4 linked regions of the Lonchura striata genome follow. The protein of the gene in region 2 purifies or fractionates together with the protein of the main gene of each other region. This does not show direct contact. Links are inferred from orthologs where the notes say so. Each region holds a gene or a part of one and is shown on either strand. Other genes may lie near its edges. The genes, in order: CCT3, DNAAF10, POLR3E and POLR2J.

Region 1 (7,287 bases), on a different chromosome or scaffold from region 2:
GTACTGCTCCTTCTGGGCCACCTGCTCCAGCCAGTCCTGCTTCAGCTGCTGCGCCAGCTCAGCCTTCTTCCGTGCCTTCTCCAGCTCCCGCCGCCGCCATTCCCGGTCTGCGACCTCTTGGTTCCTCTTGGCCCTCAGAGCATCCTGCCCAAATAGGGGACAGTGCTGGGCTCCCCTCAGGGGCAGCTATGGAAGCCCTTGGCCGTGGCTTTGGCTCTGCCAGCACCGCTCCAGGACATCCCCTGGCTCCAGGGGCTGGTCCTGCAGACCCCCCACATCCAGGGGTGCTGGGGTGATGACAGGGACGGTGGCAGGGGAGCATGTCACCTGTGCCTGGGCCACTCACCTGCTCTGCCTGCCAGTCCTGGGCCCGCTGCTGTGTGGCCCTGAGCTGGGCCAGCTCCTTTTCCTTCTCCAGGCGCAGTTGTTGCTGCTTTGCCTCCAAGGTGGCCTCACGCTCCTATGGGGGACAGAGACCCGGGATGGGACAGAGTCCCAGAGTGTGGGACAGAACCCTGGGATGAGACAGAGCCCCAGGACAGCTCCTGCAGCCCCTGCCCACCCCACCAGGAGCCCGCTGCTCTTACAGCCTTCTGCCGCTGCTGCTTCAGCACTTGCTCATCCTCCAGCCTGTCCTGTTCCCGCTGTTGATCCTTCAGTCTCTGGCTCTCCACGTTGAAACATTTAATATCTGCATGGATTTGCTTTAGTCGCTCCTGTTTCTGCTCCCAGGCCTGGAAATGCCAGGCAGGGTTGGAGACCACCAAGCTGAGTGGTCCTTCCTCCTCCTCACTCAGGACAGGCAGGCTTTGGGCCACCTCCCTGGGATGTCACAATGTCCCCAAGGGACCAGAGCTCTGAGCCTGCTGGCTGATGTCCCTATTCCCTGGGTGTGGCTGATCCAGCTCTGCCAATAATCTTTCCAGCCAGGTGGAAACTTCACTGCACCCCCCTCTTCTCTGCTCCCACCTTCCGATCCTCCCTCTTCATCTGCTCCAGTCGCTCCAGCTGCCTCTGGCCCTCCTGGTACAGCTCCTCAGCCCTCAATGCCTGCTCCTCTGCCCTCTGCTCCATCTGTTTCACAATGTCATGCCGGGCTCTGGGAATATGAGAGCAGAAGGGTTTCCTCTGGCTCCATCCTGCTCCCCATCGTGGGAACGCTGGCATGGACGGGGCTGGTGTGGTTGGAATGGGCCAGATGCCTCCATGGGGAAGAGGGAGCCTTCTGCCCACCTTATCAGCTCCTGCTTCCTCTGGCGCTCCAGCTCCTCCTGGACCTCCATGCCCTTCTCCCGCTCCATTTCCATCATTTTGTCCAGGCGCTTCTCCTCCTCCACCAGTTCCTTGTGGATCATCCGCTTCTCCAGGACTTGCTTGTCCCGGATCATGTTGCACTTGGCATTGAGGAACAGCTGCGGGGACAAGAGGGGTCTGTGGCTCGGAGATGCACTGGGATACAGGGAGCAGGGAGGGCCAGGGAAGGAGAGGAAGAGCCTGGGAGCACGAGGAGCAGGGAAGGCTCAGGCAGTGCCAGGTGACAGCGGGGAGCACTGGCCCTACCGCGTTCAGTTCCCGCACGTCTTCCTCCTGCTCCAACCTCATCCTTGCCGCCCGCTGCAGCAGCTTCTGCTCCTCCTGCTGCAGCTCCTCCTCCACATCTCTCCGATGGTCCCTCTTGTCTTCCAGTTCTGCCTTTCTCTGCTCCTCAATCTGGGCCTTTTTCAGGGCTTCCTGCAGGGACAGACAGCACTGCCCAATCCTGGACACCTCGAGGGCCCGCAGGGGTCACACTTCAGGTGCTGCATTCCCAGCACTGAGTGGGGACATGTCGGGCTCGTGGGGCCCTGCCACAGCCATGGGCACCCCTCCCCACACCTCTGAGCAGATATCCTGTGCCTTTGGAAGGCTGGCAGTGCTGGGCATAATTTCAGGGATGCTGGCAGTGCTGGGCATAATTTCAGGGATGCTGCCCAGCTCTCAGTGGAGCCCTGAGCCCTGCAGCCTCCCCTATGCCCCAAAATGTGGCGGACAGAGGGAGGGTCCCCTGCAGGAGCCACCACCCCTCAAACCCAGCTGTGGAGCAGGAAAAGGGGAAGCAGGAAGGGAAATGCCTACAAAAGCTGTGTCCTGTCTGGCTCTCAGGGTCTTCAGCCTGTCCCAGTGCTCCACCTCAGTCGGGGCTCGAGCTGATTCCTTGATCCTCTCGTATTCCTTTTCTCCAACGATGAGAGATGGTTTGGGCCTCTCCTGGGGAATGCTGGGGAGCCCAGGGAGAGAGCTCAGTGGCATGGAGATGGCAACAGCTCCCTGTGCTCCCTGAGCTGCCCACTCAGCCACCAAGCCAGCCCAGATCGATTTGGGAAGTGCTGGGGAAGCCATGGGGACCTGGCTGTCTTGTTTTGGGGTGAGGCAGGAAGGGAAAGTGTGGTGAAAGTGGCACCAGGCTGGGATGCAGGGGGCAGCATCCCTGGGGGTGGCCAGGGCATACTGCCAATCCCAGAGATTTTGGAATGCTGCACTGAACACCCATTCCCCCAAAACCCTCAGGGCTTGGGCACAGCTTTACATGAGCTCCCGGATCAGGTCCTTGGTGATGACTTGGATGGTCTTGAGCTTGGGCTTGAAGGAGGGCAGCTCTTGAGCATGTTTTAACACAGTCTGAGACATCACGACAGGGTCGCTGGAGCCCGTGACCTGCAGAAAAGAAAAGTTTGAGGGACCCCTCCCCCTACCTGGTGCTCCCCGGACACTGACGGATCCTGGCAGGAGCTCTGGGCCCTCTGCCGGGATTAGCCGCGGGGTGTCGGGGGCACGCCGGAGGGGACAGAGGGGCCGGGGGTCAGCCTGAGGAGCTGGACATCCTGCGGGTGTGGGGGGGGCTGGGGAGCCCGGGGGAGACATCGGGACGGACGGCCTGAAATCCCAGCGGTGGAAGCGGGAGGCGGCGGGCTCGGAGGGACCGAGATCCTGCGCCGGCAGTTGCGGCTCCCATCACACTGCCACCGCCGGGGCTGTCGGTGCTGTCCTGTTGTCCTGGAGCCGACCGTCACAATGTGGTGGAACCGACGGCTGGGATGTGTCTGCTCCGACTGTATTCCTGTCCAAAGCCACTGCCACGATTTGTCAGGACCGACTGTAGCCATGGCAATGCCCCAACAGCTCGCAGTGTCCGGGAACGGGCCGGGGCGGGGAATTAGGCGTGGTGCCTCAGGCAGGAGGAGCGGGGCTTGGTCTGAAAGAGGCGGGGCTTGGCGCAGCTGTGTCACCCAGCGTGCCCACCCCTGTCCCGTGTGGTGCCCTCCTTGCACCGACCTCCTTAGAGCCCCTACAGGGACACAACACACGCGACCCCCGGCCCTGGGGGTCGCCGAAGAGTCACCAGCGACGGCCCCGCCCCGCCCTACGCCCCGCCCCCTGCCTTTGCCCCGCCCCAGCTCAGTTCTGCCCCTCCACCGCAGCCCCGCCCCTCTCACTGCCCCGCCCCGCCCCTTCTGACCCCGCCGCTTTGTCGTGGCCCCGCCCCTCCGCGTGGCCGTGGGGTCGCCGCTTCCCCCAGATCGGGGTCCCCCCCTTGTAACCCAGCAGGAGCCCCCTGCCCTCCCCCAGCCCCAAATCACGACCAGCCAGGCCCGGAAAGAAGAGGATCCGTTTATTGGGGCACAGGGGTTGCTCCCCCAACACGCTGGGGGGGCTGCGGGGCGGTAGGGTGGGGGCGGCGCCAGCCAAATAATAAAAATAAAATAAAATAAAATAAAATAAATAAAATAAAATAAAATAAAATAAAATAAAATAAAATAAAATACTTTGGTCTGGACAAAACTGGCGGGGGGACGGCTACCCGGGGCGGGGTTAAGGCAGTTTGGGGGAGTCCGGAGGGGTCAGAGGACCTGGCAAGACACGGGCACGGCCTGCGCTGCCGGACGGGCGGGGCCGCCTCACCGTCCGTCCTTCTCTGGGCTCCTGCAGTGCGGACTGGGCGAGACCACCCTGATGACCGAGGGTGGGGGGGTCACTGAGCTCTGCCTTTAGGAGTCGAGGTCGCCCGTGGCATCTCGGACCCTGTGCCTCCCGGATGGAACGGAGACGCGGCAGCGAAATGTCCAGTCCAAGTCGGCCCCACGGTGCCCGCCGCCTCTCCTCCGGGGCTGTGCACGGCTCCTCCTTTCCCCTCCCCTCCCGTCCCCTCGGCGCCCGTGCGGAGCCCCTGGAGGCCCCGCCCCTGCGCCTGGCGTCACTTCCCTGCCGAAGGCGCCGGGCGCGGCCCTGATTGGGCGCCGCGCTCAGGCGCCATTGCCCGCGGTGGGGGGGGGGCGGTGCGCGGGGCGGCGGCGCTGCGAGGCTCCAGAAGGTTCCGCCGCGCTCCAGCCGCCGCGATGATGGGCCCGCGCCCCGTCCTGGTTCTCAGTAAGTTCCGCCGGCCCGGCCCGGCCCGGCCCGGACTGCCGGCACGGAGGGCGAGGGAATGGCCGGGGGTTCGGAGCGCCGCCCCGCTTTGCCGCTCGCCTGACTCGCCGCCATGTTGGGTCTCCTCATGGCCGGGCGCCGTCTCACGGCCCGTACCGGCCGGGGCCCCGTCCCGCCGGGGATCCGCTGAGTATCGCTGCCGGCCCCGGCGCGGCCCCAGCTCCCCTTGATAGCTCCCATCTCGGAGCCCCGCTGCGCTCAGACCTTTCCTGGCAGCCTTCCGTGCTCTCGGCTGGTCTCGCGTCTTTCTCAGCACATTGCTTTGTAGTGCCCCATTTCAGCCCCGTGTGAACCCAAATTCTTGGGCCTCCAGAGCTGCTGGAGCGGGTCTGGACGTGTCCACGGAGATGCTCCGAGGGCTGAAGCCCCTCCGCTCTGGAGACAGGCTGGCAGAGCTGAGGGTTTTGAGCTTGGAGAAGGCTCCAGGGGGACCTTAGAGCTCCTTCCAGGGTCTAAAGGGGCTCCAAGAGGGCTGGAAAGGGACTTTAGGTAGGGGCCTGTAGTGATAGATAGGAGGGGATGGTTTCCCACTTCCAGAGGGCAGGGTTAGGTGAGATGGTGGGAAGAAATTCTTTGTGATGGTGGTGAGGCCTTGGCACACAATGCGCAGAGAAGTTGTGGCTTCCCCATCCCTGGAAATGTCCAAGGCCAGATTGGACAGAGCTTGGACCCCATGCCCTGCCCATGAAAGGGTCTTTCAGGTCCCCTCCAACCCAGATCATTCTGTGATTCTCTCACTGTCCACCAACATGAGGTATTCCCAGGTTTTCTTTTTTTCTGTTCGGGTATCTCATTCTCTTCTCCATCCATTCTGTTCTCTAGTAACCCAACAGGCAGACTGTCGTAGCCCACGCCCCTTTTCTATAAGCCTGCTTGCCTGAGTCGTGGTGCTGCTCTTATAAGGTGTTGTTTCCTTTTGTTCTATCTTACACTTCCTTGTGCACATGCATCACTCCTAAATAAATCTGGGCATGCTCAAGCCAGGCTTGTAATAGCAGAAAAGCATCCTTGAGCCTAGATATGCCCTAGAGCTCAGTTTGTTGACAGCTGGTCTTCAGCAGCACTTGTGAGCCTTTTGGTACCCCAACTGCTGCTCACCCTCATGTGCCAAAGTAACACCAGTGGATTAACTTTATGTTCACCCAATTCTGCTTACTGTACATGAGCCTCTGTAACCATTTTTTGACTGAAGACCACTGTACAATAGCAGCTCCTTGGCTTTGTGAGATCTGGCAGATCCTAGTGAGTCACTGCAGTTTGATTTTCTGAGGTAATAGGTCCTGTTTCAGGGTTGCAAAGCTTTGTCTCAGGATGCTAACAAGGAGCTCTGTTATAATAGGGAATGTTGTTTTTCACTGACAGTTTTCCATCAATGTCTATCAATCTATCATGACTGCAGTATTTGTATTGTAAACTTTGAATTTCAAACCAGTCACATGTTGAATGCGTGACTGAGAGGTGACTGCATCCTTGTTGTTTTGTACTTGATTGTACTTGATACATTTTATTTTTTCTGTATCCTTTAGGTCAGAATACAAAACGTGAGTCTGGAAGAAAAGTCCAGACAGGAAACATCACTGCTGCAAAGGTACCAAATTCTCAAGCTGTTCTGATTCTCTGTGTGTGTGTGTGTATTTATGTATTAAAGAGGGACAAACTGAATGTGAAGCACATTTTTTCTATTTGATATGAATATAGGGTAGAAGAAGAAGCAACATAGAAAATAACTTTATATGTTAGCAGAAGATTTTTATACTAGTACATAAAAATTCTGTATAAAACCGAAATGTCTGCATTGTTCATGTAATGGGTACCCTGTCAATAACCATGGAGGGATTTAGCCATCCAAACCCCCTTTCTCCACAAAGTCTGAAAGTGCCTCTATTTTGACATCTGACTGAGATAGTAATTTAGTGTGGTTCCAGTGTCTTGATAATCCGCATATTCTCATTTCCATACAATTCTTAACCATGGCATGTCAACCACAGCAGAGTTGTTGGATGACTTAAATTTTGCAGGGGCTGTTGATTTCACTATGGGAGTTTTTTAGATTTTTTGATGCCCTCCTGTATTACCTCATTTCTTTGTTTCCTCCTAGACTATTGCTGACATTATCCGAACATGTTTAGGACCAAGAGCAATGATGAAGGTAAGAATTTGTGCTGCAGCTGACTAGAAGTGAGACCCATGGGACAGAGCAATCAAGTGTTGGTTCTCTTGTGGTTGCAGATGCTTTTGGACCCCATGGGTGGGATTGTGATGACCAACGATGGCAATGCTATTCTTAGAGAAGTAAGTTTCTCCTAAAGGATTTTCTTGCTTAATAGTGTCAGTATGTGCCTGAATCTTGAGTGACAGTGGAGCTGTGTGATCTCCCCACCTGTCCTGACAGCCAGTAAGTGCTAGCCAGCTGCTCCAAGAAAGGTTCTCACTGCAGAGAAACATATTCGGCAAGTATTCTTGCTCTGCGGAAATGTAGGTTTGATCCTAGAGTGGGATGTTTTCATGGAGTGTTTACAAGACTGATGCAAATTCTTTGGTAATTGGAGCTATTAGCAGCTGCATTGAGACCTTTTGAATAGATGGTGTTCACAATGCCACATGACAAGACCTAGAAATCATTATTGTCTGTCTGGTGCAAGAGCTGGTAAAAAAACATCCTAAAAACTGAAATGCCTGAAAAACAATGAAGAGGCACAATACTGTCAAATACAAGGGTTTGGTTTTGGTCTCAAAAAGGAAGAAAGCCTTGCTGTTGTTGGACAGAATGCTGTTGATTGTATTAAAGGTGTGGTATGTGTTCCATTGAGTGACGTGAACGTT
Region 2 (7,802 bases):
TTACCAAATGCCACAGTCCAGCAGTCTCTTTTGCTCTCTCCCTGTACAGATTCCATATTAGCCACGGGAATGTCATTCTGCCTTGGGTCCCACACCTTCACAGTTCCTGGGAAAGAAAGACAATAGATTTTCTATTAGGAATACAGTCATACTGTGTTCACCTTCCTAGAAAAGCCCTTTGCTTTCCATCCTAATCATTCAAAAGACAGTAGCATCTCTTTCAATTCTAGCAAGCCTCACTTTGTTTTGTGGATATAAGAAAAAAACCACAAAACCAAACAGAAACAGAGTGAAAGCATTTGTTAAGGATGCATTTTCTCTAGCTGATATTTTGCATTTATCATGGTTTGTGTTCCTTCTGTCTCACGACCAGTGACAACAGTACCTTTTGCTTATCTGTGGCTCTAGAAGAATTAGGGAAAATCAGTCCCAAGCAAGATTCAAGAGACAGTGTGCAAAGAACTAGTTGCAACAGCTTGTAACTAGTTCAGATGGCAGACTGTGCCCTGCCATCAAGAGCTTGCAGGCTCAGAGGAACTGGGAAGACTTGCAGAGTTCACTAACTCACCATCTCGACTGCCAGTCACAATTTCTGGTGCACCTTCCCCAATTCCTAAGCCACCTACACCATCTATACTGTTTATGATTTCCTTATGACCTTTCACAGAATACACTGGTATTTCAGGAGCTTCTAAATTCCTAGGCAAGAAAGAAAAAGAACAGAAAACATGGCATTTTTCCTTGACACTCAGGATTTGTATAAAAATGAAAGGAAACTTGAGCACAAATCATAAAAGCTCAGATTAACAGTGAGAACAAATATGGATATCACCACCAAGAACCACGAGTCTTTGATTCCTTCTTTGGCTACTACATTGGACTGCTCCAAAAGATTTTGCTCTGTTCTGGACCTCCCTGTTTGTAAAGGCAGTTGTGGGATTCACCACAGCAGCCACTCAGAGCCAGTTTTACACGCTGGGCTCAAAAATGAATCACACTACAGATCAAGATACTCTGTAAAAAGTACATAGACCTGAAAGAAGTACAGAAGTATCTGTACTTTCAGTAGGTCTATAAAATAACTTGATTCATTGATCCCCACCTAGCTCTGACTACTGCTCTCTAACTTCAGTGAATATTGTTGTATCCAGCCATAAGTTTCATGGTTCTTTCCCACAGATTCCCATTCTTTGAGAATCTTTCAGAATTTTATTTTACATTTCAGCTAGTAACTGTCCATGTAATTCTTGCTATTCCAACAAGAACCAGTAGTTCCTTGACACAGGGCAATATAATAATGATGGTAATAAAAAAATCTCCTTTTGACACTACTACTTAATTTGATCATAAATTTACCTAGATATTAATTACACCAATAATTCAGGGACCTAGAGGAAACATTTGATATGTCAAGATTAAAAAGATATATTTAATCTAGACAGGAAATTTAGGTTGAACACAACCTCTTGTTTGTACTCATGCATCCATTTAAAACCCTCTTTTCAGAGGACAACCTCCCAGAACTTTATCAGGTTTTTGTAGCTGCACAAAGAAGATGGGAGTGAAGCAGGACTGAATTAAACAATAATGCAGAATTCTGTGTTTTTTCTACAAAACAGGCATGGTTCAAATACAGTAGCCAGCAAAGCTTGCACTGGGTCCCAACCACGGGCAGCATGGAGAGCATCTCATGCAAAAATCCACAAACAGAAACCTCTGTTCAGACAGACATGGACAACATCAAGTGAAAACGCTTCCAGAGAATATCTGTGCTTACCATATGTTAAGGTTTCCATCGAAATCTCCTGTAGCTAAGTATCTTTGCTGCAGAGATGTAGCACCAAAAGTCCCACATTTTATAGGTTTGGGCTTTTCAATCTTTTAAAGAAAGGAAATGTCTGTGTCAGCACACGGAAAAGGCAAAATCATCCACAGGCTACGCGGATCTTAGGAGTGCACTGGGGCAAGTGTCAGCGAAACACAAGGGGATATTTGGTGCAAAATACTAATAAAATGCTATTGAAGGCAAGTTTGAGTTCAGTCCTTGTGCACAGAAAAGCAGAGGGTCCAGGTTGCTGGTCTAAAGCAAATATTTTGCTTGTAGCCTAGTGGGCGTTATGCACCTGAGGAACTGTTTAGCCTCAGAAGTGAACACTCAAAGGTCAATCTCGGAGAAAAAAATCAACCAAAGAAACAAACAAGCAAGCAAGCAAACATACAAAAACAACCCCAAAACCCAATCAAAAATCCAACCAAACTCCAACAACGAATAAAAAAATAAACCCAAACAAACGAAAGAACACAAAAAAAACCCAAAAAACAAACTCAGGCAATAACTCATATAACACAACACATAAAAAACCATAACAAAACACATAAAAACAACCTACAAAACACAGCAGTAAACAAAATCGCAGAACCACAGGCTCAGTTGGGCTGAAAAAGAGCCTTGAGATGGTCGAGTCCAACCTAGCACCGGCCACTACCTTGCCAACTAAACCAAGGCACCGAGTGCCAAATCCAGCCTTTCCTTCAACATCTCCGGGGACGGTGACTCCATCACCTCCCTGGGCAGCCCATTCCAATGTCTAATCCCCCCTTCCGTGCGGAAATCCTTCCCAAAGCCAATGGAAACCTCCGCGGCTGTAGTTGCCGGGGAGAAGAGTCAGGCTCCCACCCGGCACGCCCCTCCGGGGAGCTGCGGGGAGCGCTCAGCGCATCCCGGGGCGTTCAACACGCGGGTCGGCTCCTGCGTTTTCACCGCCGGGGCTGGGGACGAGCCGGTCCCGAGGGAGCCGGCGCTCACCTCCCGCAGCAGCTGCAGCCGCGCTCCGTTCAGCTCGTACAGCTGCAGCACGCCGGTGCCGCGGGCGGCGCTGCCCAGGCACAGCAGCCGGGCGCTGCGCGGCACCCACTTGCAGTCGAACACGGTGTAGCTCAGCGCCTGCTGGACGTGCGACACCACCTGCGGCCGCTCCGCTCCCAGCACCGCCGACATCCCTCCCCTTCCCCGCCGGCTGCCGGCGGAAACACTCGCCGCCCCCTTCCGCCGACAGCCGCACCACGTCCGGCTCGGCATGGAGAGCGGCGAGCCCGCGGCCGGCGGCTTCACCAGCGTCGTGTCCCGCCGCAGCCGCAGGAAGCGGCGGGCGGGCGGCGAGCGGGCGGCGGCAGCTGCCATGGACACGGCGGAGCCGCGACCCAGCAAGCGGCCGGCATTCCCGCCCGTGCCCGCCGAGGCGCTCGGGGTACGCGGGGCGAGGGGAAACTCCGGCCGGCCACGCGTGTCCGGCTCCCGGCCCCGGGTGTCCGGCTCCCGGCCCCGGGTGTCCGGCTCCCGGCCCCGCGTGTCCGCCCGCCGGCCCCGCGTGTTCGGCTTCCAGCCCCGCGTGTCCGCCCCCCGGCCCCGGGTGTCCCCCCGCCGGCCCCGCGTGTCCGGCTTCCAGCCCCGCGTGTCCGCCCCCCGGCCCCAGGTGTCCGGCCCCGCGTGTCCGCCTGCCGGCCCCGCGTGTCCGGCTTCCAGCCCCGCGTGTCCGCCCCCCGGCCCCGCATGTCCGGCCGCCGGCCCCGGGTGTCCGCCTGCCGGCCCCGCGTGTCCGGCTCCCGGCCCCGGGTGTCCGCCCCCCGGCCCCGGGTGTCCGGCCCCGCGTGTCCGGCCTCCAGCCCCGCGTGTCCGGCTCCCGGCCCCGGGTGTCCGGCTCCCGGCCCCGGGTGTCCGGCTTCCAGCCCCGCGTGTCCGGCTTCCAGCCCCGCGTGTCCGGCTTCCAGCCCCGCGTGTCCGGCTCCGGGTGTCCGCCCGCCGGCCCCGCGTGTCCGCCGCCCCCCGGCCCCGACTCACGGCCGGCTGTGTCTCGCCCCCCCGCAGGTTGGGAAAGGCGAGCTGAGGAAGATCCCCGTGCCGGCCAACAGGTACACGCCGCTCAAGGAGAACTGGATGAAGATATTCACGCCCATTGTGGAGCATCTGCAGCTTCAGATCAGGTTCAACTTGAAAACGAGGAATGTTGAGATCAAGGTAAGGGGAGCGGCTCCTTGGGGCTTTCCCCGGTGGGAAAAGGTTGTGTTAGAGCTCGCAGCTCCTTCCCTGTGTGAAGGGGCTCCAGGGGAGCTGGAGAGGGGCTGTTTGTGACAGGACAAGGAGTCACGTTTACAAATTGAAAGAGGGGAAGTTTAGTTTGGAGATGTTGGGAAGACTTGTTTTACTGTGAGAGTGGTGAGACGCTGGGACAGGTTGCCCGGGACTACCCCAGCCCTGTTCAAAGCAGGCTGGATAAGGCTTTGAGCAGCCTGGTTTAGAGACATTGTCCCTGCCCGTGGCAGGGGGTTGGGACTAGGTGGTTTTACGGTCCACTCCAACCCCTTACCATTCTCTGATTCTGTTACATGTGATAATTTGTGCAAATAAAATTGTCGTATATTTTATAATTATAAATGTTAAGATATAGTCTTACAAGAAGTTTTTAAAACTCAAGCCAGCAACAAGGATTGCAAAACAATGTCAAAACCACCTGGACAGAAGAGGGAGGACTCCATTCACAAGCAATTGAACGTGGCCAGCCCGGAGATGGATCACCCATCAAGGTGGTCCAAGGAACACCCGGACGATAAATATGTGATAAATATCCGAAATTGAGATAGCCAGAGCCATCAGGGAGATACATCTCAATACCAAATTCTGGGAGCATAGGAAACCTTCTACTGCAGCAGTCAAACCTGTGTCTCACTCAGCGCCAACACCCGGGCTCACCACTGACCTTTTTTTTTTATAATGGCTTTTCTTTTTTTGTTTTTTTTTTTTTTTGTTATTCTATAAATTTATATTTGATGCATTTAATAGATTTTCTTAAATTAATAAATTGGATCTTTCACTTATAACAATTCTGCCTCCTGAAAAGCAGTGCCTCTCCTCATGTGTGTTCTTGGTCCGCAGGGTAAAGACTAGAGAAGTCGTAAATCCCACATAATGCTTGGAAAAATGGAAACTGTGTGGTGTCACCTCCCTGGGGACCAAAATCTGAAAATGATTGCTTAGTAGTTAGTGCAAGTAAAATCCAAATCTGTTCCAGAAGGAGCCAGCAGAAGCTGGGAGAGTGTTCTGTTTTTGTAGGAGAAAGTTATGTACTATAGAAAGTTGTGTACATTAAGAAGAATTTTCATCCATGTCTTAGATATGACTTTGTAATTCAATGTTTTCTGGCTATTTAAGGTTACCAAATATTGACCTGACAGTAAACAGTATCTTACATGGGGGCACTGAATCTCCTCCTGCCTTTGTTTGTGGCAGATGATAAGGGCTCATAGTTTAATAGCATGTGCTTTTTCTTTAATGGATTGCACTGGAATACCTTAGGGCACAGACAGCAGTATAAACCTGTAAATCTTGTAGATGCTCATTCTTTATCCTTATTCCTCCTGAGGAATGTTCACACCAAGAGTTTTTAAGGGCATATCTAAAGTTTTGACATACGATTCACTGATTTCATTTTGCCCATATCTATCATGAATATAAAACTTTGAAATTAATTTCATTCACCTGCTAAGGCATATTTAGAATATTGTCATTAGAATAACTCTCCTGCCATCACCATCCTTCTCTTTTTCCTGCTGTTTGCTGCTGGAGTTTAGTTTGTGTTGGTTTTGGGTTTTCTCCACCAAGAGTTCTACTCAGTCAGTGGTGGTGTGGATTTTCAGCAGCTTTTCTCTCCCCTCCAAGCACAGGCTGATCACTTCTAAGTTCTGCTCCTAACTTGCCTGGTCTTAATTTGCAAACATAACTTCTTGTCTTGCAGACTTGTCAAGAGACAAAGGATCTCAGTGCTCTGACGAAAGCAGCTGATTTTGTGAAAGCCTTCATACTTGGATTTCAAGTAGAGGTGAGTCTCCCAACAACCAGATTGTGAGAGATTGCTCCACTTTACTGATCTGTCCCTGGCCTCTCTGCAAATTTCAGTAAGAAATAAAGAGAAAAATCCTTAGGTGGTTTTCTAGAAATCAATGTTTTCTAGAATTGTGACTGGAGTAGACATCCAGTTACTTAAGATAATGCTGGATAAAAAAGTAGCCGTCAAACAGCACGTAAACAGAGAACATAGGCAAGCATAAAGCAATATCCTCTCTCTGAGGTCCTCTGCATTGGTAGACTCTGCTCATTTTTCTTAAGCCCAAGCCAATAACCTCCAGTCTGTGCAAAACTCACAGAATCACAGAATTAACTAGGTCAGAAAAGACCTTGGAGATCATCAAGTTCAAGCTATGACTTTATCAACTAAACCAGGGCACTGAGTGCCACATCCAGTCGTTTTTTAAACACCTCCAGGGATGGTGACTCTACCAGCTCCCTGGGAAACCCATTCCAATGTCCAGTCACTCTTTCTGTGAAGAACTTCCTAATACCCAGCCTAAACTTTCCCTGGTGCAGCTTGAGGCTGTGTCCTCTTGTCCTGCTGCTGGTTGCCTGGGAGGAGAGGCTGACCCCCACCTGGCTACACCCTCCTTCCAGGCAGCTCTAGACAGTGCTGAGGTCTCCCCTGATCCTCCTTTTCTCCAGCCTAAATCCCTCCAGCTCCCTCCATCACTTCTCATCACTTTTGCTCCACACTCTTCATCACCTTGCTGCCCTTCTCTGGGCACATTCGAGCATCTCAAAGTCCTTCTTAAATTGGTGTGCCCAAAACAGTACTGACATGATACTCAAGGTGTGGCCTCACCAGTGCCAAGTACAGGAGCAGAATGCCTTCCTTCCCTGGTGCTGCTGGCCACTGTTCCTGACACAGGCCAGCATGCCATTTGCTCCTTGGCCATGTGGGTACACTGCTGGCTTGTGTTCAGCCAGCTGCCAGCTGAACTCCCAGCTCCCTTTCTGCCTGGCTGCTGTCCAGCCATTCTGTCCCCAGCCTGTAGCTCTGCAGGGGATTGTTGTGGCCAGAGTGTAGGACCCGGCCCAGGGACTTATTAAACCTCATAGTAATGGATTTAATATGAGGCTTATCTATCCAGTCTCTCTGCAGAGCCCTCTTAGCCTCCAGCAGATTAACACTTGCAATTGCAGCTTGCTGTCATCTGCAAATTTGCTAAAGGTGGACTGAATCCCCTCATCCAGACCATCAGTAGATACTAAATAGGACTGGGCCTGTTTAGAAACAAACCCACTTTTTTCAGTGTTGCAGAGGCTGCTCCTTGCTCTAGACCTGTATTTACTAGCACTGGGGAGGCAGGGCTGAATGCATGGGCATCCAAACCTGTAGGGTTCTCTAGATGGAAATATTTTTATTGCTTTTGAAAAGAAGTGGATTTAAGTTTAGTTATTTGCTAGGTTGTTTGTATAAAGAGAACAGCAGCTTTCAGCAACAAAAGAAACAACTGCTGATAACAGATCTCCTGCTCTTTTAGGATGCCCTTGCTCTCATCAGATTAGACGATCTTTTTCTAGAGTCATTTGAAGTTACAGACGGTGAGTATTTTCTGATGCAGCATTCACAAAGTCATGTGTGTCCTGCTACTATGGATTTGTTTTCTCTTTTCCCCCTGCTCCAATTTTATCACTTTTATGACCAGGAAAAAATATCTAATTTGATGTAGTACTGGGACTCCTTGGAGTCCTCTGTGAAACAGGATCTAAACCTGATCTACTTAATTTCTGTCAGTGTTAACTTGGTGACTTTGACTCCATTTCCTCAACCGAAGTGCAGTGCCTTCCTCTGCAGTTCTAAAGGAGATTCTGCGTGCCAGAAACCCTATGTCAGCACTGGCAGCAGGGTGCACTACTAGCCAGAAAAAAAGCTGAAATCCAGATGGATCTCTGT
Region 3 (7,348 bases), on a different chromosome or scaffold from region 2:
ATCCATGTTACATCTACAACAATGGCATTTTTTTCAAATACTCAAGCCACCACACAATTTAGGCAGCTCAGTATATTTCAGTTGACATACAGGCTTCTCAAATATCACACTAATGTACACATAGGTATCTAAGAAACCTTTCAAAGAGGCTAGACATTCTGGATGCAAGTGTTATTAACATCCATTCAGGCTTATAGTGTTTCTGCCATTCCACCAAGAAATATAATTCCGTATTTTTCACTTACAGACTCTCTGCTACCAAAAAAGTGCCCCTCCCAATACTGAGCTGGCATTTTCCATTTCTTTATGCACCAGCATGTCCCAGGGTCTTTGTACCATACATATGTATTTAAAAATTTATGCCTCAGTATTTCAGATTCCTATCTGAAGTAATGTTGTAGAAATGCAAAACACCTTCACAGCAAAAAGCCAGTACCTTAACCACAGGCTGGACTGTGAGCAAAACCATGAGTATGTGATATCTGACTGATATCAGTGTTTTTCTGTGATCAGGCACCCAGTTCCTCCCAGAAAGACACATTAATATGTTTTAAAGAAATAAGGTTAGTCAGTTCCTTTTTTGCTTTCCCCACTCACGTCCCCAGGTGGCCCAACACCTGACAGCTCTGCAGACATGGAACAACTGCAGCTTGCACTCAGCTCAGAGCTGATGGTGGGAGGATGCCCAAGATGTGTGAGGACATGTGGCAACACCCAAAAGGTGGGACACTTGGGTCCAAACCCTCCTTCCTCACACCCCTGAGAGAACCAAGAACCACCCTTCCCTTCCTGACAGCCTGCATGCCAAGTATCTGCTAGGCTTGTTCTTTTCTGAGCAAGTTATTTCACTTCCAAGAAGAGAAAACCCTCCTGGGCTAACAGGGACAGAGAAACTCAGCCTGAAGAACCTGGTCTCTGGCCCCTCACTGAACACTGCCTATGCAATTATACACAAAATCTCCTTGGGAATCCACCTGTCACTGCTCAGGGGAAATGCTGCATTACAAAAACTACTTTTTTTTTTCTTAGTCCTGTAAAGATAAAGCATGACTACAGATACTTTTACTGGAAAATGAGACTGACACATCTATAAATAGGAAGCAGTGTGTCCCAGTACAACTTATAATACTCATGCAACCAGAAGAAATCCTCTGAATCAGAATGAAGGCATGCAGACACAATGTCTGATATATACATACATAGTGTTAATTTCCACACTTCTCATATACATATATTTACGATACCACAAGAGTTACATAATGGAATCAAACATTAAGAGACAGCAAAAATGGTCAGCAGGTTTTGGTAGAACCTTCTTGTTTTAAGGACTTTCCTTTAAGGTGCAAATCAAAGTATAATGTGAGTTATCAACTAGCAGGAGGGCAAGAGATAGAAATCTTCTCATTTCTCCTGCAAAGTGACTAATGCAAGGACCAATCCATGATACTGCTCTTTAGCTGCCAATAACACCATCAACATAGAGCCATTGAAGAAAAATTTTGTGGTTAAAAAAACTGTAAAAATGAGTGATGAAGCAACTGAATCCTACATCTCCCTCTGAGCTTTGAAGGGCATTTGAGTATTAGAGATTTAATTTTATTTACTACCAAAGACTTAAATGTAACTGCAAGAAGGTAAATTGCAAACCTGCACATCATTTGACACACATACTTTTAGTCAGGCCTGCAAGAAATGCTCCAGTATTTCATTTTTACCTAAATTTGTCAGTAATAATAGACCCCCAAAGTGCTAACACTAAAACCTGATATATTCTTCATATAATCATGCAGTGACAAAGAAAGGCCAACAACTCCTTCTGGATCAGTGCCTGAAAGTATAAATGCTGAAACGGCAGCGTGGGAAAAATGCCATTTCCTGAATCAGTACCACAACTACCTCTGGCACCCGGGCTCCTCTAGAAGGGGCTCTGAGCAACTCTCTAGCTCAGGGTGGCCCATGGCGCACAGTAAAATGGAATCTGCAAAAAGAAGCTAAAGCACCTTCCATACATTTATGGCAATTATCATTTTGACCCAATTACTTGCTTCATTTTCTCCTCGCCTGCAAGCAGCTTTGCACAGTCATCTTCTGGCAGTGAACCCAAGAGGGCTCCTCTGCACCAGGACCTCTCTCTGGAGGTGATGTCACCGAAGCAAACCTTTGGGGTTTAAGAGATTATGCACCAAGCACAAACCTTTCTTCAGCACCTCACCCCGTGTGCAGCACGGGACGTGCCAGGCCGGGGCTGCCGGGGGCAGGGGTCACTCCCGCCGCGGTGGGACGCTCCCGGGGCAGGTCGCGGTGCCCGAGCCGTGCTCCCCGCGGGCAGCGCTCCCGCCGGCCGCCCCTGGCGCCCGCCCCCTCCTGACACAGCAGCGGGGCAGGGCAGGGGGAAAGGGGAAAGGGGAAAGGGGAAAGGCCACAGCGGCCGCCCGAGCCGCCCGGACCGCGGGGACGCAGCGGATCCCCCCGGGCAGGACGGCTGGGCTGGGCTGCGGCCCCGCAGCGCCGGTGCCACGCAGGGGCAGGCGCTGCACTTCGGGGCGAGTGCGCCGAGTCCTGCCCGGGGAAGGGGCTGCGGGCCCGGCAGGACCGGCGGGGCCGCCGCTCGCAGCCCCCAGAGGAACGGCCGGCAACCCCCGGTGCTGCCGCGGCAGGCGAGGGGCCGCGGCTGCGGCCGGACCCGGCCCGGCCCCCAAGCGCCCCGGCCCGAGCCAGGTCCTGTCAGGGCGCTGCGGCCCCGCGGTGCCGGGTCCTCGCAGTGTCGGCTCCGCCGTCCTCCCCGGACAGGCAGAGCCCACCCCAGCCCAGGCCGCGCTCCTCCCTCGCCACCACCCGCAGGGTCCCCGGCGCCGGGGCGGCCCCGGGAGGCGCAAAAGCAGCGCGGCCCCGCGTACCTGTGTGCGGGCCGGGCGGCGGCGGCGGCGCCGCTCCCCCGCTCCCCGTGTCGGTGGGGCAGCGGTCAGGCAGCCGCCATGTTGGTGGCCCGCGGGCCGGCACGTGGGGACGCGGCGCCTCCTCCTACCCACAATGCTCTCCCGGCCGCCGCTGCCGCCAGGGGGCGATGGCGGCGGCCCGCGGCGCAAAAAGGAACCCGGGCTGGCAGCGGTGGGATTCGAACCCACGCCCCCGAAGAGACTGGAGCCTTAATCCAGCGCCTTAGACCGCTCGGCCACGCTACCGCCACGAGCATGCTGCCTTTTGGCAATGCTTTTACTGCACACCGGTTTGTCCCCGTCTTTCCCACCCTTCTCCTTCCCCAACAACCGCTCTGCCTACACACCCCCTCTACCCGGAAAATAAAATGCGGGGGGGTCCTTTTCAGCCCGTTCCCAAGCAGCGGCACTTGGAGCTGCGCGATGCACCCGAGCCCTCCGCGCCGCGCCCGCTGCCACGTGGATGCCACGGAGCAGCACAGCCGCCTGCGCCGTACGTGTGGCACCGCCCGGGCACCCCCTCTGAAAGCCTAAAAAAAGTTCTAAATTCTAATTGTCCGTTGCAAAGTCAGAGCTCCCTGAATTCGCAAAGTCAAAAGTCAGCAGTTTATGCCTGGGGGGTTGTTCTTTTGCGTATAGCACAGGGACCAGCACGGCAGTACTCAGTACACCTGTGCAAATGCATGGTAGCACACCTCAGCTGCTGGTGCTCCATGCACGTGCCTCTGGAAGTCTCTGGTCGCATTTTGCCTGAAAGTCTGGTGAGTTTTCGTAAAGAATTAATCTTTTTTTTCACCACTTAATTACAACTGAAGGGTTGTATTTTGAGGAAGAACTCCAGCTTCTCTATGGTAAGGCCACAAAGCCTTAATGCAGCTTGATTTAATTCTGTCCTTGTGGCAGTTCATTTAAATAGGATAGAGAAAATAAACCTGCGGGAGCCCTGCTGACAGCATCATTCAACCCTTTCCCCTGGCACCTCCCACAGCCTGTCCCTGCAGCACCCGGTGGTGCCAGCTCTCTTTCCAGGGAGCTGCTGAAATGGAAGCAGGGAATGGTTTTGTTGGGGTTGGAAGTGTCTAAAAAATGTCTGATAGTCCATCCACTAAAGTGAAAAGGGACATCTTCAACCAGATCAGGTAGCTCAGAGCCCTGTCCAACCTGACCTTGAATGTTTACAGGGATAAGGCATCCACCACCTCTCAGAGCAACCTGTGCCAGGCTTTTAGCACTCTCATTGTGAGAGGCTGAAGCACGGCACAGTCTTGCTAAAAAATTCAATTCACTGCCTACAAGTATTGAGGAATAACAGCATACACATGTAAACATGAATAAACTCCTCTAGTGCTGCTGAAGTTTCACACCCTCAGTTCAGTGCCTTTTCAGGATGTGCGGCTTTTTAAGAACAGAGCAGCAGGAGAGGTTCAGGGAGGAGAGAAGGCAGGCAGACCTGAACTGGCTTCACACAACAAATCACCTGTAACCTGCTCAAGAGAAAAGTTTTGGCAAAGAGTCAGTTTTAACAGTCTTCAAGCCTGTGTGTGTGTGCAGGAGGCTGCGTAGCACACTCATTACAAACTGTTCCTTACTGTGTGGGATGCTCAGTCCCACAGGCCCTTTTGCCCAGGCAGTGCAGGGAACTAACACCCTCCTGAAAAGTGCTTTTCTGCCCTGAGCTCAGCCTCTGTCCCTGAAGTGTTTCTGTGCCTGGCCACAGAGACATTTCTCCTGAGCACCAAAGGAAGCCTGTGTACCCAAGATTATTCACATCAGCCACGTGGGAAACAGGGGCTAAGAGCACAGGCTGTCCCTCGGGGGTGGCAGCTGGGTCACCAGTTTTTTCATTTCACCTGTGCAACATCAGTTATAATGGCAGAATCATTTCCAAATTAAAAAATAATTAACGTGAGGAGAACTCAAAATATAGGACAAGCCTCATTACTTTGTTTTCTGGCACAGGATAGCCAAGGACTAGCAAGGACCCACATATACTGGAGTATGTCAGACTCCCAGACTAAAGGCAAGGCCCAATAGCTACAAAGCCCTGAGCTGTCCCCACACAGGAGTTAAGTCCATCAGCAGGAGCAACTGAGAGATATCCCTGAACTTAAACCTGAAAATACCCTGACTCACCCCTGGCAGCATTGCCCTGCATCCGTCCTGAGAGGGTCAAATGAAATTCTGCCTCTCCAAATTCAGATGAGAAGTCCTGACTTGACCCATCGTAACTACACCTGGCTCTGTCAGCACTCATTCTACTCTGAGTGAAATTTTATCTGTGGGGAAGAGAACGAGATTCAAATCAGTCCCACAGACCAGTAATTAAGAAAAAGCCAATATACTTATTTACACTTTATAAGCTGTAAGAGTTTGCTGTCTCCATGGTTTCTGAAGAATGCTATTCTTACTTTGTTACATTTGCCAAACACTCCATCTCTGTGACAGCAGCTATATCTAAAAACTCCAAAGGCCTATAAAGCTAGAGCAGTGCCAAATTTCACCATTTTTCATCTTAGTGATTTCCACAATGCAGAGGCCCACATGGTGCTTTTTTGTTAGGAAATTCTGCTATTTCACAGTGCCCTTTCTAGAAGATAATTTCACATTGTTTAAACTACACAGGTATAAGAAGTTCCACCTGTCTAAATAAAGCAGTAAAAAGGCAACACTAAGAGCTCCATTTTTAACAGTTTGAAAGAGCCTGTTTCAAACAGGCAAGATGACAGTGTATCATTAGATATTGTATCCCACCTGAAATCATAGAGCCCAAGAATTTCCAGCCTATTCTCAGGACTAAACAAAAGCTAAAAGGATAGGGAGGCCTCCGTAGCACCCTGGACATGAGCTTTCCTGTCTTTATATTTTATCCTCCATTGGCTACAGACATATGTAATTACGTGTGTAATCAAATGTAAATCAGAGAGCACATCAACCATTTTGTTTTCTGGTGGAAAACAGATAATTTCCTCCCAGTTAGTTACTTCTGACTGTTAAAAGGGAATAAGGGAATGAAATTGGGAATAGAATAATACAAACAACAGAGAGGATTTCTGGAAGCTTGCAATAGTAGGATTGAATTTTGGCAATTTATAAAGAAAAAAAAAACAACCCAAAAGCAAATACCCACAAGCAATGAGTAACACTCTACTGAGAAAAAGTGACAAAAAGAACAATTTTATTTACTAGCCAGAATGAACCCAGACAAAGTGAATGAGAGTACTAAGTGATGCAGGCAAGAAGTATTTGCTTGTCTGACATACAAAGTCTTCCATCTCACTGTCCTTACCCAAGAAATATTCTGGCAACGCTGAGCCCAGGTAAGTCCTGGCAGGCTGAGCCTCAGATTTATTTTCACATTTTTAAAAAATACAGATTTTTATTTATTCATTGTGAATAGATTAAAAATACAGCGTAAAGCAATATAATTACAAAAAGTCTTTAAAATATACAGTTTTTTCCCTTCAAAAGAATGTCACAGACTAAGTTGCGTATATTTCTGTAAACAATTTCCATTTTCATATTATTGACAGTCCCATTTATTGTATGGCTAAATCATCTGATACATCTTAGGACAGAAGGTAGTCTTCATCACCAAAAAGTAGTATTTGCAAATAAAAAATTAATTAATTTTGCACTGAGTTGTGTGCACATTTACATACCAGATCTACACTGAGCTGTCAGCAACTTCAGCAACTACTGAATTTAGCAAATTAAACTACACCAAGAAGTGTCAATAATTACACTCTACATCCTTTGCATGCACATTTTGGACACTTTCAATCTCCTCCCTAAATGGTTAGTGGTGTGGTAACACATGCTTCCTTCTCAAGGAAAATCTTAAAGATTTGGCATCACCACCTTTTGAGGGAAGCACATCAGGGAAATCCTTCTGTCTGATTTATAGTCCCTCCACTGTATAGGTTCTGCACAAAACAGACTATTCAATTGTCTTCACCTTTCATTGACAGCTGACACCTTAATGCTATGAACTGAAATAGCAAAACAGGCCACATTCCTAGAGAGGCTTTAGGCATCTAAAGCAGAATTTTGGATAGGCACTGAAAAGATTAATATTAATTGCAGTCCTCTGGTTCTATTTCAGCATGTACAAAAAATATTAGGTCCAAAAATCTGGTCGTTTTAGTACCTCACTACCTAAGACCAGCTGAGATCTAGAAATGAGACATTCCTCCATTAATGGGTGAAGAGCTTTGCCCTCACTCTCAAAACGAAACAAAAAAGAAAGAGGCCATGGACACTACTTTCCCACAACCCCTGCTATCTACAGCAAAAAGATGTTGCCATGTGTTGCAAGGCTGCTCACCGCTACAACTGCCTGGTGGTTACAGCACCAGCCAGAAGCAGGACATCCGAGGGTAACTTTCCCTTCCCTCCTAGAAAAGATTCAAATT
Region 4 (6,746 bases), on a different chromosome or scaffold from region 2:
CACACCCAGGCCTCTCCTGCCTTCCCCTCCCAGGTGGTGTTCAGTGTCCAGGGGCTGGAAGCAGCTGGGCAGGAGGAGGGGTGGTTCAGGCTGTGCCCAGACAAGTCCAAGCCAACAGAGGACGAGTGAGTTTTGGCACAGGGTGTTGGGGTGTGCTGGGGGTGGTGCCAGTGCCCTCAGGAGGGATGGGAGTTTTTCTGGGAAGCATCATCATTTTGGAGGGGTAGCCTGGGGTGTTGGGCCACCTCCTGCTTGGTGAAGTATACATCCATCATCCACCCATTCCATCCACCCATCATCCACCCATCATCCATCCACCCATCCACCCATCCATCATCCACCCATCCATCATCCACCCATTCATCCATCCATCCATCATCCATCCATCCATCATCCATCCATTCATCCATCCATCCATCCATCCATCCATCCATCCATCCATCATCCATCCATTATCCATCCATCCATCCATCCATCCATCCATCCATCATCCATCCATTATCCATCCATCCATCCATCCATCCATCCACCCATTCATCCATCCATCCATCCATCATCCATCCATCCATCCATCCATCCGTCCATCATCCATCCATCCATCCATCCATCATCCATCCACCCCTCCACCCACCCACCCACCCTCCCTGTGCTCCTGCAGGCGCCGGGGCAGCCTGGGCTCGCTGCAGCTGCAGGTGAAGCTCCGGGATGAGACGGTGCTTCCCTCCCACTGCTACCAGCCCCTGGTGCAGCTCCTGTGCCAGGAGGTGAAGTTGGGGCGCCAGGTGAGGGGTCCATGCCCAGCCCTGCTGGAGCACTCACATTTCCCAGCTCTGTGGTGTCTGCCTGCCTCGGGCTGTCACCTTAGGGTGCCTCTTCCCTCCAGGATGGCCAAGTGCACCTGGTCACCCTCCTGGACGAAACCACCACGGCCGAGTGCCGGCAGGAGGTCGCCATCAACTTGGTCAAACTCTTCCTGGGCCAGGGGCTGGTCAAGGAGTTCCTGGACCTGCTCTTTGAGCTGGAGCTGGCCAAGCCCTGTAAGGCTGGAATGGGGAGTGGTCCTGGAGGCTTCCTTATCATCTCCTGGGGCTGCAAAACCTCCAGGGCCTTTTGTGGGGATTTTTTTGGGAGTGATGGTTGAGGCTCAGCCATCGCACTGTGCAATCTGTTGGGCTCATCCCAGCAGTTCATGGGCTGAGGTTGGTGGAGGAGCAGGTGGGCTGAGGTTTGGAAATCCCCATGGCCCCCATGGAAATGGCCAGGGGGACGGGGCACAGCCCCTAGGAATGACCCCCATGACTGCAGCTGCCCAGGATGACCTGAGGCCATTCCCCAGGCCATGGACCCTCTCCTGTTTTGCAGGTGAGCCCAACACTCTGTTCCGGAGCAACTCTCTGGCCTCAAAGTCGATGGAGTCCTTCCTCAAGGTGCCACACCACCCAAAACCTGCTCTTCCCAGCTGTTCCTGGCCCTGGGCTGTTCCCAGGGGAAGAACTGGGAGGGATGCTGTGCTTGTGCCTTCCCCCAGGGCTGGGAGGCTGGAGAAGATCCACTGGGTGACCCTGGGGGTATCGGATGCCAAATCTGTGGCCCATCCCTGTCCCCTGTGTGGTCCCTCGGCAGGTGACAGGGATGCCATACCTGCACTTTGTCCTGGGCCCCACCATCACCCGCGTGTTTGAGGAGAAGAAATACGTGGAGCTGGACCCCGGCAAGGTGGAGATCAAAGACGTCGGGTAAGGGGCTCGTGGGGTGGCAGGGCAGGGGTGGCCCCAGCGCTGGAGGTGACAGTGACGGTGCCTGCAGGTGCTCGGGGCTGCACCGGGTGCAGACGGAGGGCGAGGTGATCGAGCAGGGCCGACAGCACCTCCAGTCCTACCTGGGCGAGCTCCTGGACGCCATCGTCAGGTCGGCGCCGGCGTGTCCGCCCCTGATCCGCGCCGCGTTCCGCCAGCTCTTCCAGCGCGTCGGGGAGCGCTTCCCGCAGCACCAGGTCGGGCTGTGCGGGGGATGCCGTGGCTCAAACGGGGACATCCCCAGGGGACAGCGCTCTCTGCGTGTGGTCCCCAGTGTGGTCAGCGGGGTCCCCTCTTGAGCAAGCAGCAGCCCCGGCCACCGGTGCATCGCTATTTGTGGGGTTGTCCCACGCTGGGAAAGACCCTCACGTGTGTTCCCCACCCCTCGGCGGTCCCAGCACGCCAAATTTGTGGCTGTCACCAGCTTCCTGTGCCTGCGCTTCTTCTCGCCGGCCGTGATGACCCCCAAGCTGTTCCAGCTGCGGGCCGCACACGCGGACGCGCGGACCAGCCGCACGCTGCTGCTGCTGGCCAAGGTGCGACAGGGGACACCGGGGCGGCCCTTTGGGGTGCCGGCCGGGTCTCCTGGGGGTGACGCTGCCACCGCCGCGGTCCCCAGGCCATCCAGCTGGTCGGGAACATGGAGCCGGCGGCCGGGCGCGCCAAGGAGACGTGGCTGTCGCCGCTGCTGCCCGCCCTGCAGGAGGGCACCGCCCGCATGAGGGACTTCATCACCCGCCTGGTGGGCACGGAGGAGGACAAGGGCGAGGAGGAGGGCGAGGGGCGGCCGCTGGGGCCCTCGCCGGCCGTGGTGAAGGAGGGGATGCTCCTCGTGCACAAGACACGGGGCAAGGGGCCGCTGCTCGCCGCTGCCGCCGGCAAGAAACTCCATTTCTGCCTCACCGCGGAGTCCCTGAGCTTCGGCAAGAGCCCCGGTGCGGAGGTACGGGCGTGCTGGGCGGGCGGGGGGGCGGGCAGCGGGGCGGCGCTGACCCCCTCCGTGTGTGTCCCTTCCATCAGCGTATCGGTGCCATCGCCCTGGGCGACATCCTGGCGGCCGAGAAGGTGGAGGAGAAGAGCTTCGGCAGCTCCCACGTCATGCAGGTGGTCTACATGGCCACGGGCGGGCAGCAGGAGACGGCTTACCTGCAGTGCAAGGTGCGGCGGGGACAGCGGGCGGTGGCACGGCGCGGGCGGTGGCACGGCGCGGGCGGTGGCACGGCGGGGGCACCCTCCGACTGTCCCCAACCCCGCAGTGTGTCAACGAGCTGAACCAGTGGCTGTCAGCCCTGCGCAAGGTGTGCGGCAACAACCCCCGCGTGCTCCGCTCCTACCACCCCGGCGTCTTCCGCGGCGACAAGTGGAGCTGCTGCCACCAGCGCGACAGGACAGGTACGCGGAGGTGGCCCCGGAGCCCCGCGGGGGTGCCGGGCTGTCCCCCCGGTACGGTGACCCCGCTGCCCCGCAGGGCTGGGATGCGACCGGACCCGGCACGGCGTCACCCTGCAGGACTGGAGTGACCCGCTGGAGCCCACGGTGGAGGCGCAGCGCCTCTTCCAGCACCTGCAGGGCCTGCGGGGGACGCTCAGGTGAGCCCCTGGCCCCGGGACCCCCGCACCGGCCCCGCCGCCGCGCTGCTCCTGCCACGGCCGGTCCCTCTCCCCTCTCCGCAGGGACAAGTACTGGGAGCTGCAGGAGCCGGAGGCGGCCCGCAACGGCCCCCGCGGTGAAGGTGGGTTGGGGTGCGGGGTTTGGGGATGTTCTGCTTGGGAGGTGTCCCCGGCGGTCACAGGGGCTGTGGGGATGACCTGTCCCGCCCTGTCCCGCAGACGCTGCCCTGCCCGAGGGGCTGAGCCGGCTGCTGGCGGTGCTGGGGGAGCTGGAGCGCTGCCACCGCCGGGAGCTGCCCCCGCCGCCGGGCCCGGCCCTGCTGCGGCTGCAGACGTGAGGGAGCGCGGCCCCGCAATAAAGGCACTTGGTACCCTGCGGCCGTGTCCTGTGTCTGCTGGGGACGGGACTGCCCAGAGCCCTGCTGGTGCCACTGCTCGCAGTTACACTGCTGCCACCTCTGAGGCCATTTCTGGTGGCACCACTGGTGGCCTGATAAAAGCACTGCTGGGGGTTCCCTTGGTGGCGCTACTGATGGTGACACTGCTGACAGTTACACTGCTGCCACCTCTGAGGGTCCTGCTGGGGCCATTTCTGGTGGCATCACCTGTGGCATTGCTGGTGGCCTGATAAAAGCACTGCTGGTTCTCTTGGTGGCGCTACTGAGGGTGGCACTGCTGACAGTTACACTGGTGACATCTCTGAGAGTCCTGCTGGGGCCATTTCTGGTGGCATCACTGGTGGCATCACTGGTGGCACCACTGGTGGCATCGCCAGTGGCACCACTGGTGGCCTGATAAAAGCACTGCTGGTTCTCTTGGTGGCGCTACTGATGGTGGCACTGCTGACAGTTACACTGGTGACATCTCTGAGAGTCCTGCTGGGGCCATTTCTGGTGCCATCACTGGTGGCATCACTGGTGGCACCACTGGTGGCATCGCCAGTGGCACCACTGGTGGCCTGATAAAAGCACTGCTGGGGGTTCTCTTGGTGGCGCTACTGATGGTGGCACTGCTGACAGGTACACTGGTGACATCTCTGAGAGTCCTGCTGGTGCCATCACTGGTGGCATCGCCAGTGGCACCACTGGTGGCCTGATAAAAGCACTGCTGGATGTTCTCTTGGTGGCACTACTGATGGTGGCACTGCTCACAGTTACACTAGTGACACCTCTGAGGGTCCTGCTGGTGCCATCACTGGTGGCATCACTGGTGGCACCACTGGTGGCCTGCTTGGGGGTTCTCTTGGTGGCGCTGCTGATGCTGCCATTGCTCGCTGTCCCTGCTGGTGCCATTTCTGAGGGCCCTCCTGCTGCTGGTTCTGTTGCTGGCAGCATTGCTGCCATCACTGGTGGCTCTGGTGGCCTGCTGTGGCAGTGGTGGCAGCCCTGGAGTCTCTGCTCATGGCCCTGCTGCTGGTGCCAGCTGGTCACGGCCGTGGTGCTCCAGTGGGGACACCGCTGCCGGTGTCACCGGTGTGTGTTCCCTTCCCGGCCGTGGCTCTGAGGCGGCCACCACCATTCTCGGCGCCGCCGCCATTGCTGCGGCGGGTCCTCCCGCCCGCCAGGGGGCGCTGCGCGGCGCCCCGAGCGGGCGGAAGTGACGTAACGGAAGCGGAGCGGCGGCCGCCATAGCAACGGCGCGATGAACGCGCCGCCGGCCTTCGAGTCCTTCCTGCTCTTCGAGGGCGAGAAAAAGTGAGGGGATACCGGGGGGCGAGTAATTAACCCTGATCAGAGCGCGGGGGGCTGGGAGCGGGGGGAAGCGGGCCTTTCCCCCCAGTCCCCGCCGTGCCCTGGCGCGCACGGATCGCTAACACCCCTGCATCCCGTAACACCTCAGGATCACCATCAACAAGGACACCAAGGTGCCCAACGCCTGCCTGTTCACCATCAACAAGGAGGACCACACGCTCGGGAACATCATCAAGTCGTAAGTTGGAGCGGGGAGGAGACTGCGGGGAGGTTTGGGATTTTCCTGCCCTTCATTTCCCGGGGTTGGGTTTTTGTTCCGTCCCAGGCAGCTGCTCAAGGACCCGCAGGTGCTGTTCGCAGGGTACAAGGTCCCTCACCCTCTGGAACATAAAATCATCATCCGTGTCCAAACCACCCCAGATTACAGCCCGCAGGAAGCTTTCACCAATGCCATCACAGACCTGATCAGTGAGCTCTCCCTGCTGGAAGAGAGGTTCAGGGTAAGGGCACTGTTTTCCTTAAAACTCTTTGGCCTTGTTATACTTGTATTTTTTTTTTTTTTTTATTTGTTTGTTTGGCCTTGTTATACTGTTTTTATGTGTCTTAAAGCTGCTGGCTTGAGGTTGGTGAATTAATTCAAGCCACCCTCCTTGTGTTGTTCAGCTGCTGTCAAAGCCTGGCTGCTCTTAAGTGCATTTTTATTTTCTTTTTTCTACTTCTGACAAAGCTTTGAGCCCATATTTTCACCTCTCATCGCTTCTGCTCAGTTTATTTATTGATTTAGCCCCCTAATCCTGAGATTTAATCTTACTCAGAAAAATTCAGGGAGGCTGTGACTGAAACAGTACCTCTGATGTGCTGAGAAAAGGCACCAATTCATAAATAAGTTTTGATTTTAATTTCAATATTCTGCTTGCTGTAGAGATTTCCACTGGGTTGTGATTCACAGAAGAGTCAGGAATTATTAAACACCAACCTGCAGCTCAGTAACAACTCTTGTCTAACCATGTGTATTTTTGCTTTTGCTTTACAGGTTGCTATTAAGGACAAACAAGAAGGAATTGAGTAAAATGGAGCAGACTGTTACTTCTGATGCAGAATGACGTGTCTGTTACTGGATTAAATATTTAAACCTCCATTCATGGCAAATATTTTTCCCCTTGTCCCACTTCTGTTTAATTTTTGACAGCAGCAGCAATATTTTGAGTTCTGGTTTTATTTTCATAGCAGACAGGCACTTTGCCAGGAGGATAAAACATCGTGTTGGATTTGGTAGATAAGTCATTAAAGTGATTTTTAGTTTTCTAATTGGAGCCTTGAGGCAAATATTTGTCCTGGGCTGTTGGGGAGGTTTTTGTAGGTGCAATTCCAGCATGAGAAGCTGCTCAGTGAACTCTCTGCTTTTCCTGCCAAAAACTCCAGGCACTGCCAGCTGAACTGGTATTTTGTTTTATTAAGTGTGATTTCTACAAAACAAATGCACAAATTGTGAAAACTTAACAGTAAAAGAAACCGGATGTTTACAATGAACTGATGAGTTTAACAAACTCTTACCTTGTTTTTTTTGTTTTTGTTTTTTTTTTTTTTTATTTTCTCCATCTTGCACATAAAGCTGCTCTAGAAAAGGTCGATGGGCACATGGTAACAGT

What was found.
Region 1: the proteins of DNAAF10 (region 2) and CCT3 purify together in Homo sapiens (affinity purification with mass spectrometry; 3 studies listed by BioGRID and IntAct, counting the BioPlex papers as one, with this or other methods). This does not show direct contact. The link is inferred for Lonchura striata from reciprocal best matches to the Homo sapiens genes DNAAF10 and CCT3.
Region 3: the proteins of DNAAF10 (region 2) and POLR3E purify together in Homo sapiens (affinity purification with mass spectrometry; 3 studies listed by BioGRID and IntAct, with this or other methods). This does not show direct contact. The link is inferred for Lonchura striata from reciprocal best matches to the Homo sapiens genes DNAAF10 and POLR3E.
Region 4: the proteins of DNAAF10 (region 2) and POLR2J purify together in Homo sapiens (affinity purification with mass spectrometry; 3 studies listed by BioGRID and IntAct, with this or other methods). This does not show direct contact. The link is inferred for Lonchura striata from reciprocal best matches to the Homo sapiens genes DNAAF10 and POLR2J.

The regions. Positions count from the first base shown.
Region 1 is NC_134635.1:853,385-860,671, forward strand, and holds the start of CCT3 (T-complex protein 1 subunit gamma), read left to right. Parts: upstream 1-4,272; 5' UTR 4,273-4,373; coding exon 4,374-4,404; intron 4,405-5,990; coding exon 5,991-6,052; intron 6,053-6,562; coding exon 6,563-6,613; intron 6,614-6,693; coding exon 6,694-6,756; intron 6,757-7,287. Other genes in the region: CFAP45 (cilia- and flagella-associated protein 45), read right to left, coding at 1-144, 347-460, 588-734, 970-1,099, 1,234-1,412, 1,561-1,731, 2,116-2,257, 2,567-2,667. UniProt on the Homo sapiens protein: Component of the chaperonin-containing T-complex (TRiC), a molecular chaperone complex that assists the folding of actin, tubulin and other proteins upon ATP hydrolysis.
Region 2 is NC_134605.1:2,910,364-2,918,165, forward strand, and holds the start of DNAAF10 (dynein axonemal assembly factor 10), read right to left. Parts: upstream 3,017-7,802; 5' UTR 2,999-3,016; coding exon 2,807-2,998; intron 1,879-2,806; coding exon 1,778-1,878; intron 700-1,777; coding exon 569-699; intron 107-568; coding exon 5-106; intron 1-4. Other genes in the region: RNA-binding protein PNO1, read left to right, coding at 3,078-3,248, 3,866-4,015, 5,790-5,873, 7,390-7,450. UniProt on the Homo sapiens protein: Key assembly factor specifically required for the stability of axonemal dynein heavy chains in cytoplasm.
Region 3 is NC_134618.1:10,694,537-10,701,884, reverse strand, and holds the start of POLR3E (DNA-directed RNA polymerase III subunit RPC5), read right to left. Parts: upstream 3,010-7,348; 5' UTR 2,898-3,009; intron 1-2,897. UniProt on the Homo sapiens protein: DNA-dependent RNA polymerase catalyzes the transcription of DNA into RNA using the four ribonucleoside triphosphates as substrates.
Region 4 is NC_134622.1:5,624,941-5,631,686, reverse strand, and holds POLR2J (DNA-directed RNA polymerase II subunit RPB11-a), read left to right. Parts: upstream 1-4,984; 5' UTR 4,985-5,047; coding exon 5,048-5,100; intron 5,101-5,245; coding exon 5,246-5,335; intron 5,336-5,422; coding exon 5,423-5,597; intron 5,598-6,130; coding exon 6,131-6,166; 3' UTR 6,167-6,246; downstream 6,247-6,746. Other genes in the region: ras GTPase-activating protein 4, read left to right, coding at 34-125, 659-782, 884-1,037, 1,363-1,427, 1,624-1,736, 1,807-1,993, 2,195-2,332, 2,416-2,739 and 5 more. UniProt on the Homo sapiens protein: Core component of RNA polymerase II (Pol II), a DNA-dependent RNA polymerase which synthesizes mRNA precursors and many functional non-coding RNAs using the four ribonucleoside triphosphates as substrates.